2 linked regions of the Astyanax mexicanus genome follow. The protein of the gene in region 1 purifies or fractionates together with the protein of each later gene. This does not show direct contact. Links are inferred from orthologs where the notes say so. Each region holds a gene or a part of one and is shown in the gene's direction. Other genes may lie near its edges. The genes, in order: vps4a and zfyve19.

Region 1 (3,925 bases):
CATCAGCTTTACATAAAAAAATTGTGCATTATGGATCGTTATTCCATGTTGCCAGTTCATTTTAAAGTATAAAATCAGCTTGGGCCAGGCTAATTCCAGGTTTTTCTTAAAGTAGAAGACTAGTACTCTTTAGATCATGTGTATTTGTTCTGGCCCAACATGAAAAAGTTCTTCAAAATCACACTTGAACATCTGCCTCATATTTTTTGAGCGCAATGGCTTTTAAAATATAATTTTATTAAATATATATTTAATTATTTATTGTAATATATAATTATAAATTCAGTAATTAAAATAAATATTTTACAATATACAAAATTATATTTAATAATATATTGTATATTTACATTGTTAATAAACAGCTGTACTGCTTTTCTTCATTCTATCTCCTTCAGTGTTGATCTGTGAGGTGTTTAATATAAACAGCGGGTGTTTGTGAACGCTCCCTTTAGTTCACGGTGCTTCAGTGAAGCGGCAGCTGCGAATATCAAACCAACTTCAGCCGGGGAATACGAGGCTGCGAATATCGAGCCAAACGAATCTGGAGCTGCGAATATCAAACCAACTTCAGCCTCGTGAGATATTGCACAGCGCTTTGCTTGCATGCTGTTTTTTACTGTTAAAATGCGCCATCTACAGGCGGCCGCATGTATGTTCAGCCAGCATTTAAGGTGGAACGGAAATCTGAACAAGACATTGGCGAATAAGAAGATTAAGAAGCTTCAGCGTTTTTAGAGAGTTCTTTGCTATGAGGTGCTATGTTGAACTTCCAGTGACAAGTATAAAAGTGTGAGAGTGATAACACCAAATTTAACACACCTGCTCCCAATTTACACATTTATACCTCGTAACAATTTACCTTACATGACACCGGGGAGGGAATGTTTCTAATTTGGGTGTGCTTAGTTTTGTTTGCAGTGATTTAGACATTAATGGCTGTTTCGAATTATTTTGAGTGAACAGCAAATTTACACTGTTATAGAAGCTGCACTCTGACTACTTTACATTGTATCAAAGTGAAAATGTTTAATAAACATTTACAAAAATGTCAGGGGGTGCACACTTAATTGAAATACTGTATTATGTGCTGCGGTGCGTTTTTAGTTTTTATGAATAGCTATGCAACATTTCTTATACTTCTGTATTGATCGCTTTATTTTATAGAATCTTTTTAGTGCTTATAACACTGGTGCTTATTCTTTTTTTGTGTGCTATTAGCAAATCTTTTCGTTTGTTTGTTTGTTAGTTTGTTTGTTGTTTGTTGAGATTGATTAATGTGCTATTTTCCTGTACATTGTAATTACTTTAAAACCAATAAAACATTAAATAACAATATGCTAACCTGTACTACCACATCCTGTCCGCAGGGCGGCAGCACCGCTCCTGTAACCCGCGCTCTCTGCGCAGTTGATGGGCTCTATGGTGGGCGCTGCTGGCTGTTCTGTTTGGTTCTCCGATTATTAAATTATATTTTTATAATAAAACTCAGTTTAATATAAGCTCGCGCTTCATATCACACCCACATTCAGACCTTATAGCTGACCTAACTCGAAGCTGGAGCGAAACGGCGCCGAACTGAGATGAAATGACAACGTCAACACTGCAGGTACACAGGCTAATGCTAATACTAGTGCTTCCTCCTCAGGTTCTGTTTTTACTGAATTAACTGAGTTTTTATATCAGCTCTGGTTCTGTCAGCGCGGATTCACCGCGAGCCTGACCTCAGCGCTTCTCCTGCAGCTCCAGTAACGTTAGCAGCTCAGCAAGCGCTGTTTGAGCTGCGAGATGGTGGATGTATATCTCTCTGGTCCACCTTAAATCTAACCGTTACCTGGTAAAGACTGTACAGCACCTGAACGGAGCAGCCAGGCTGTTTATAAGGTGGACTGGGGGAAGATGCTGGTTTAAACACTTTTCATGCCCGGAACCAAGTCATTTACAGCGTTGGTGTGTGGGTGTTGAACCATGATGAAGAAGCACCTGGTTAGACATTTTAATTACTGGCGCATTCAAGGGGTTAGGTAGGATGATGTGCCTCTACATCAAGAATAATTTGATATTGTACAATCAATCAAATGTGATTGGATGCAGTGCTGTATAAGGTTTTCCCGTGAAGTGCCCAGGCAGGTGTTCCCTATAGGTTTCCTATAATAGAATAAACAGTGTTTAATGGTAAAAAAAAAATAGTTACGGTTGTTGAAGTTATGGTCAGTGATGGTAAAAAAAAATGTATTCAAGGATGAACACTATTTTATTATACATGGGCCATCTTAGCTTTTTGCATGCCGGCAGAAGCCCCATGTTGCACATTAGGTCCTTTTTAAATTTGTTTTGCCCCACTCTTCCTACAGCCTGAGTCTCTACTGTCACTTGCCCTTCTTTTCCTCTTGTGTAGAGAGAGACCATACTTAGCTCTTCACGTGCATCAAAGTTGCTGCCCTCACAGAGCTGGATAGTGTTATGTTTTGATTCTATGTTAGTTTTTTTTTCCACTGGATTCTATGCTGAATTCTTTGTTGGATTTTGGTCTGTAACTTCACTGCTGCTGCTGCTAATTTAGAGAACCCTGAGTTTGTTCTTTGGGGTGAATTGTTACTCTGGGCTCATGGCCTGATCACCGGAGATTCACGACAGTGATATTCAGTTATGGAGGCCTGCCTTTTATGCTTGGCCTCCTGCCCATCATCCTTGGGTCTGGGCCATCTTTACGAGACGCTAATTAACCCTTGCATAGAAAGGGCTACTCTGTCCCTTCTCATGTACCAACTCTGTGTAACTGCCGAGATGGAGCACATACAAGCATCGCTTCCCCGTCTGGAGCCCAAGCTGTGAGCAGAGAACAGGTTCAGCTTCAACTCAGAAATGTCTGCACAAACCTGTAGATAAACACATTTAAAATATTAAATGACCTATGGCTCATTTAGAAGCCATGTTTTTTCCCCTAGTAGCACCTACAAGCTCTGCTGCACTTACCAGATGTTCCTGCTTCTGTATAAACAGGGTGAAACAGATAACCCAGTGAGTGCTTGGTTTTTAGTAACATCTTCCAAGCTATCCTGGTAGATCAGGAGCTGGCTCCAGACCAGCCGACCCCAGGCTCTTATTTTAACCATGCCCTTCAAACTAAAGTGGTCATCCCCATGTGGATTAGAAAGTCGCTCTTGATTTCATAAAAAAAATTGCAGATGTTTGTATGTTGTTGAGAACCAAATTTATGATGTTGGGTAGATCAGATGAATCTCCTCTTGCAGGTGCAGCAGAGCATCATTGTAAAGCAGATAAATAACTCTCAGGTTACAGTTCAGCATCCACATATGGTGGAGGTAGGTTTACACACTGGTACTGTAATGGGAAAATTCTATAAATTCAAGTTAGCTAACAAACTAACATAGTTAACTAGGTAGAATCTATAACAGATAACTCAATTAACTAGATAACTAATGGATCTGGAAATTGAATACTTGTTTAAACAACACATTTTAAGATAGGGAATGAAATAATCCATCCACCTACCCGATACAGCTAATTGTGGATGCTCTCAGATCCAAGTTGTTAGCTTGATAGCTTTAAGACACTTTCAGTGTCTTTTTAGAACTACTAGTTTTGCAATCCTAAATTTGTTATTAAATTAGTTTAGGAGAACTGTGATTTAATCCGTAATGAAAGTGTACAAACTGAATTGTTATAGCCAACGTGAATGTGGCCTTAATGTGCTGTGTTTTCGAAAATGCAATGTTTATGCTTTTTTTTGTAGTGGTGGAATTTCATTAAAGTTATGGTGTAGCTAGAATTACTACTTTTTTTTACCAACAGGAGAGCACAGTTCCTTTTCTAGATTATAAAGCAGCATTGAACAGCAAATTATGGAGCTTGTTTGAAAAACTTCAGGAGTTCTGCACTACTCCTTTGTCCTGTTAATGAATCT
Region 2 (3,925 bases), on another chromosome or scaffold:
ATGTCTAAGCTTTATTAAAGTCATATTGACAGTAATTACATTCAGGCACCCACAGCCGGTTAGCATTAACCAGCTAACCTGCAACTGCAACGGTCATCTAACTAACAGTCACTACAGAAAACTACAGTCTTCCCGCAGACAGAAACATTATATTATATATCATCATACTTACGTGCTTCTCCCTTTATATTGCTTGCGTCTCTGGTTTACGGTACAATACGTTATATAAAAATTATATTAAAAATCCAGTCTTTTTTTGTTCACTGCTGTTCTCAGAGAGAGTCCGTTTATCTTCAGGCTGAAAATATTTGAACGAAAACTGGGAGGAGCCTAGCCTCGCGCTCATTGGCCTATCCTGCTCACGTGACCGAAACCCAGCGCCTCATTGGTGGACTTTTATTTAACCCTTTCAGACCCGAATTAAGAATAGTAAGAATGCTGTTTTCTGTTTGTATAGCACAGAAATATTCTTTAATATTCTACTATAAAATCTAACGTTATATAGCAAACAAATTGAACTAACTAAAATATTTAATAGTTTTTATTTTATTACTTCTATTGCATTGGAACCCTGTCTGTAATATTTTATTTTTATATTGATATGTTATTTCAATATCCATGCCTAAATAGTAAAAACATGATTAAAAAGGTGTTCTAAATCACATTAAATTAAATAAAAAAAATCTGTTACTGATTTGTTGTTTGTATAAGACCTGTTTTTGTTTAGCTTGTAAAACGTTTTTTTTAAATTATTTTTTTATTATTATGTATTTATCCTGGATGTCCTTGTTTTCATTAGGATGTTTTTGGAAATTAATAAAAAAAACAGCCTGTGTGGATATTTAAAGATAAAAATAATAATATTGCAATTAAAACGATTAAAATAAATGCAAAAAAATAATAGATGTTTTTTTTTTCAGTTTTATTTTTAACGTACATATGAAATAATTTTCATATTGTCGTGTATTTTTACAAATGGTCGATCGCTTTAAATTATTTTTATTCATTTATATATTTAAAAACGTCTAATCGACACCAGAGTGTCTTTACGTTGTTTTTACAGGCATGCTGGGTAATGTAGTTTAACATCGAATAAAAGCATTTTTTCTTTACTGTAATACATTGCTGACAAACACAAATGCAACTAAAATAACAGTACACGCGTTAATGTCCTATGTCCAAATGTTTAAATAAAAAAAAAACGATATTAGAAAGTTTTATTAGCCTTTATTGTTCTGAGGTGGACTACATTTACCGTGAGGCTTTGCATCACGCTTCCTGTGTTTTCCTTCCTTAAACATGTAGCTACAGTAGGACCTAGGCTGAAATGTCTGCATTTTCAGGCCTCGCTAGTGGTTTAAATGTTAATTTGGTGATAATTAATATAAATAAATGTGAATATTAGTGAATAATAGTTACATTTATGTAGCTCGTTACGGCTTATGTTCTCTGAACTGTTTGTTTATAAATGTGGACAGTCTTTTCAGTGTAACTTAACGTTTAATCAGATATAGTAGCTTATTAATTATCAGCTATGAATAACCGCTGTTATGGCTGTGCGTCAAAGTTCACTCTCTTCAAGAAAGAGGTATGTATTTGTGTATCTGCGCAGGTTAAATATATATTAAATATATGGGCGTGTTTTATATATGTTTATGTATCTAAATGAATAGTGCTTGTGTTGCAGATGGGCTGTAAAAACTGCAGCCGCTCGTTCTGTTCAGGCTGTCTGGAGTTCAGTGCTCTGGTGCCCCGGTTCGGTAACACTCAGCAGAAGGTGTGCAGGCAGTGCCACGGGAACCTCACCAGGTAAAAACTCTTATTTTAGTGTTTATTAAGTTGATTTAGGTGTATGCTTGCTGATATATAACTAGCTATGGCTTGGGGGGGAACTGTGACACATGATGTCTCACGTGATAATAAAATGTCCTTTTGTTGTTTGTTTTTTTACAGTAATGGAAAACAGAATGATGCTGCAAGATGGTCTCCACCTGAAAACTATAAAAAGTAAGATTTTGAAAAAAAAATATGAATGAGTTCAGTATAACTAAAATTCACAAAAAGCCACTTTTGCCGCTTTTGTCTGTGTCGTTTAAATAGCACAGGCGCATGTGGATATGTATGAATAATTGTGAGCAAGAACAGAAATCCTATCGTCCCCCCGCCATCAGCAGCCGGAGCACTGAGAGAGCACAACTGCTCTTGCTCTCTCTGGGTGGGTACAGTACAGTAGATGGTGCTCTCTCTTTCTCCTCATCACTCCTAGGGTGATGTGGATCAGCACAAGGCTGCGTCTGTGAGCTGATGTATCAGAACCGAGTCGCTGCGCTGCTTTCCTCCGAGCGTTAGCGCTGTGATGCTACTCTGTAATGTTCAAAATAAGGGCGGAGTCTGACTTCACATGTATGTTGTTTTTATTATTACAGACGAGTTGCTGCTCTTGAAGCCAAACAAAGTCAACCTCCGAATCAACCCCAAAGACAGAACAGTGGGAAGAACTGCATATCCGCTCCTATTTCAACAAAAGGTTTGAGTAAGGAGGACCGAGTTATCGCAGAAAGACTTCAGAAGCTGAAGGAGGAAACAAAGCCAAGTAAGACTGTGATAATACTGTGTTTTAGTCAACTGAGATGTTCTTCACCAGATAAGATAAGCAAAAATGGAAATTTTGTTTTGCATGTCATATGCAGAGTCCATACCGTCTGAGCGGGAGATTGAGTCTCGCCTCGCTGCTTTAAAAGCTCCAGACCAGCCGGTGCCTTCAGCTCAGGACATGGAAGATCGATTAGCTGCCTTACAAGGAAAGCCCCCTCCCTCCCAAGCACCACCTCCAGTACGTGCAAGGATTACAGTTCATGCTCATATTACTGTATTTTTCACAAAATTAAAATCCTTTAATTTTCCAAAAAATCGTCAGTATTTTATCGCCTTATGTATGTAAAGTAAAGCCACTCCACTGAAGTACAGCGTTAAAAAAGTTTCAGGAAAGTTTCTCCAGCACTAAGGCTGGAGCAGTGTTAGCATTAGCTGCTAACCGCAACGCTAGCTCTTTCGCAATTTAGAGGTGAGTAAATCGGACTGTAGTCGTACTGATAATTTCTGTAAAAATGAAAGTATTTTCACTGCGCCTTTAGTTTAGTTGCGTGAATTTAGTTTACCTGATTTCCGTGTTTTTTGAATTGTGGAAAGAAAACCATGCAGATAGGGACTTGACCCTAGACCCTAGTGCTGGGATGTGTAATGCATAAACCCTCTAATTTATGTATCTAAAACAAAAAATGTATATATATTAACTAATTAAAATGTAATAATGTGGTGGTAAACATATTCTGATCTATCAGATTTTTTATATCACTAATCCCTAGCGAAATGCATGTATGTGTGGACACGTGCAATGCATGACACTGTCCCTCTAAGAATGGGTGATATTCACAGATCTCTTATGGAAAATATGACTTAGGCTCAGAGAACCAGACATATATGATTTATTAATGTTCATATGGATGTTTTTCATGTGATGTGAGACATGTATGCACTCAGAATGGTGTTTCTGCTTTGCGCAGGTTCATCGGCCACCTGATACCAGGACTCAGACTGAACAGGCCAGTGACTTACTCACGCAGATGACTGAGGAAGTTGCCATTGACAACCAGCATTCTCCAGAGGGTATTTATTACACTGCCTTATTTAGAGCCGCGGTGTCAAACTCCAGTCTTGTTTTTACCCGCCCCACTGATTTCATAACAACAGTAACTGTAAAACTCTCTGTAAATTCAACTGGGTGTGTTAAAACAGACAAACAGCTTTATGCGATTTGAGTTTTAGACTCGTACAGTACCAGTCAAAAGAGTGGACACACTTTCTTATTCACTGTAAATTAATACTGAATTACTGTATCTATTAGTGATGACCCTAGTGTGTCGGC

Evidence for each region.
Region 2: the proteins of vps4a (region 1) and zfyve19 purify together in Homo sapiens (affinity purification with mass spectrometry; 3 studies listed by BioGRID and IntAct, counting the BioPlex papers as one, with this or other methods). This does not show direct contact. The link is inferred for Astyanax mexicanus from reciprocal best matches to the Homo sapiens genes VPS4A and ZFYVE19.

Annotation. Positions count from the first base shown.
Region 1 is NC_064417.1:11,206,885-11,210,809, forward strand, and holds the start of vps4a (vacuolar protein sorting-associated protein 4A), read left to right. Parts: upstream 1-1,388; 5' UTR 1,389-1,585; coding exon 1,586-1,606; intron 1,607-1,859; exon of another isoform or gene 1,860-1,965; coding exon of another isoform or gene 1,966-1,983; intron 1,984-3,251; coding exon 3,252-3,323; intron 3,324-3,925. UniProt on the Homo sapiens protein: Involved in late steps of the endosomal multivesicular bodies (MVB) pathway. Recognizes membrane-associated ESCRT-III assemblies and catalyzes their disassembly, possibly in combination with membrane fission.
Region 2 is NC_064421.1:47,599,615-47,603,539, reverse strand, and holds the start of zfyve19 (abscission/NoCut checkpoint regulator), read left to right. Parts: upstream 1-1,279; 5' UTR 1,280-1,534; coding exon 1,535-1,588; intron 1,589-1,687; coding exon 1,688-1,809; intron 1,810-1,953; coding exon 1,954-2,007; intron 2,008-2,426; coding exon 2,427-2,593; intron 2,594-2,690; coding exon 2,691-2,833; intron 2,834-3,563; coding exon 3,564-3,666; intron 3,667-3,925. UniProt on the Homo sapiens protein: Key regulator of abscission step in cytokinesis: part of the cytokinesis checkpoint, a process required to delay abscission to prevent both premature resolution of intercellular chromosome bridges and accumulation of DNA damage.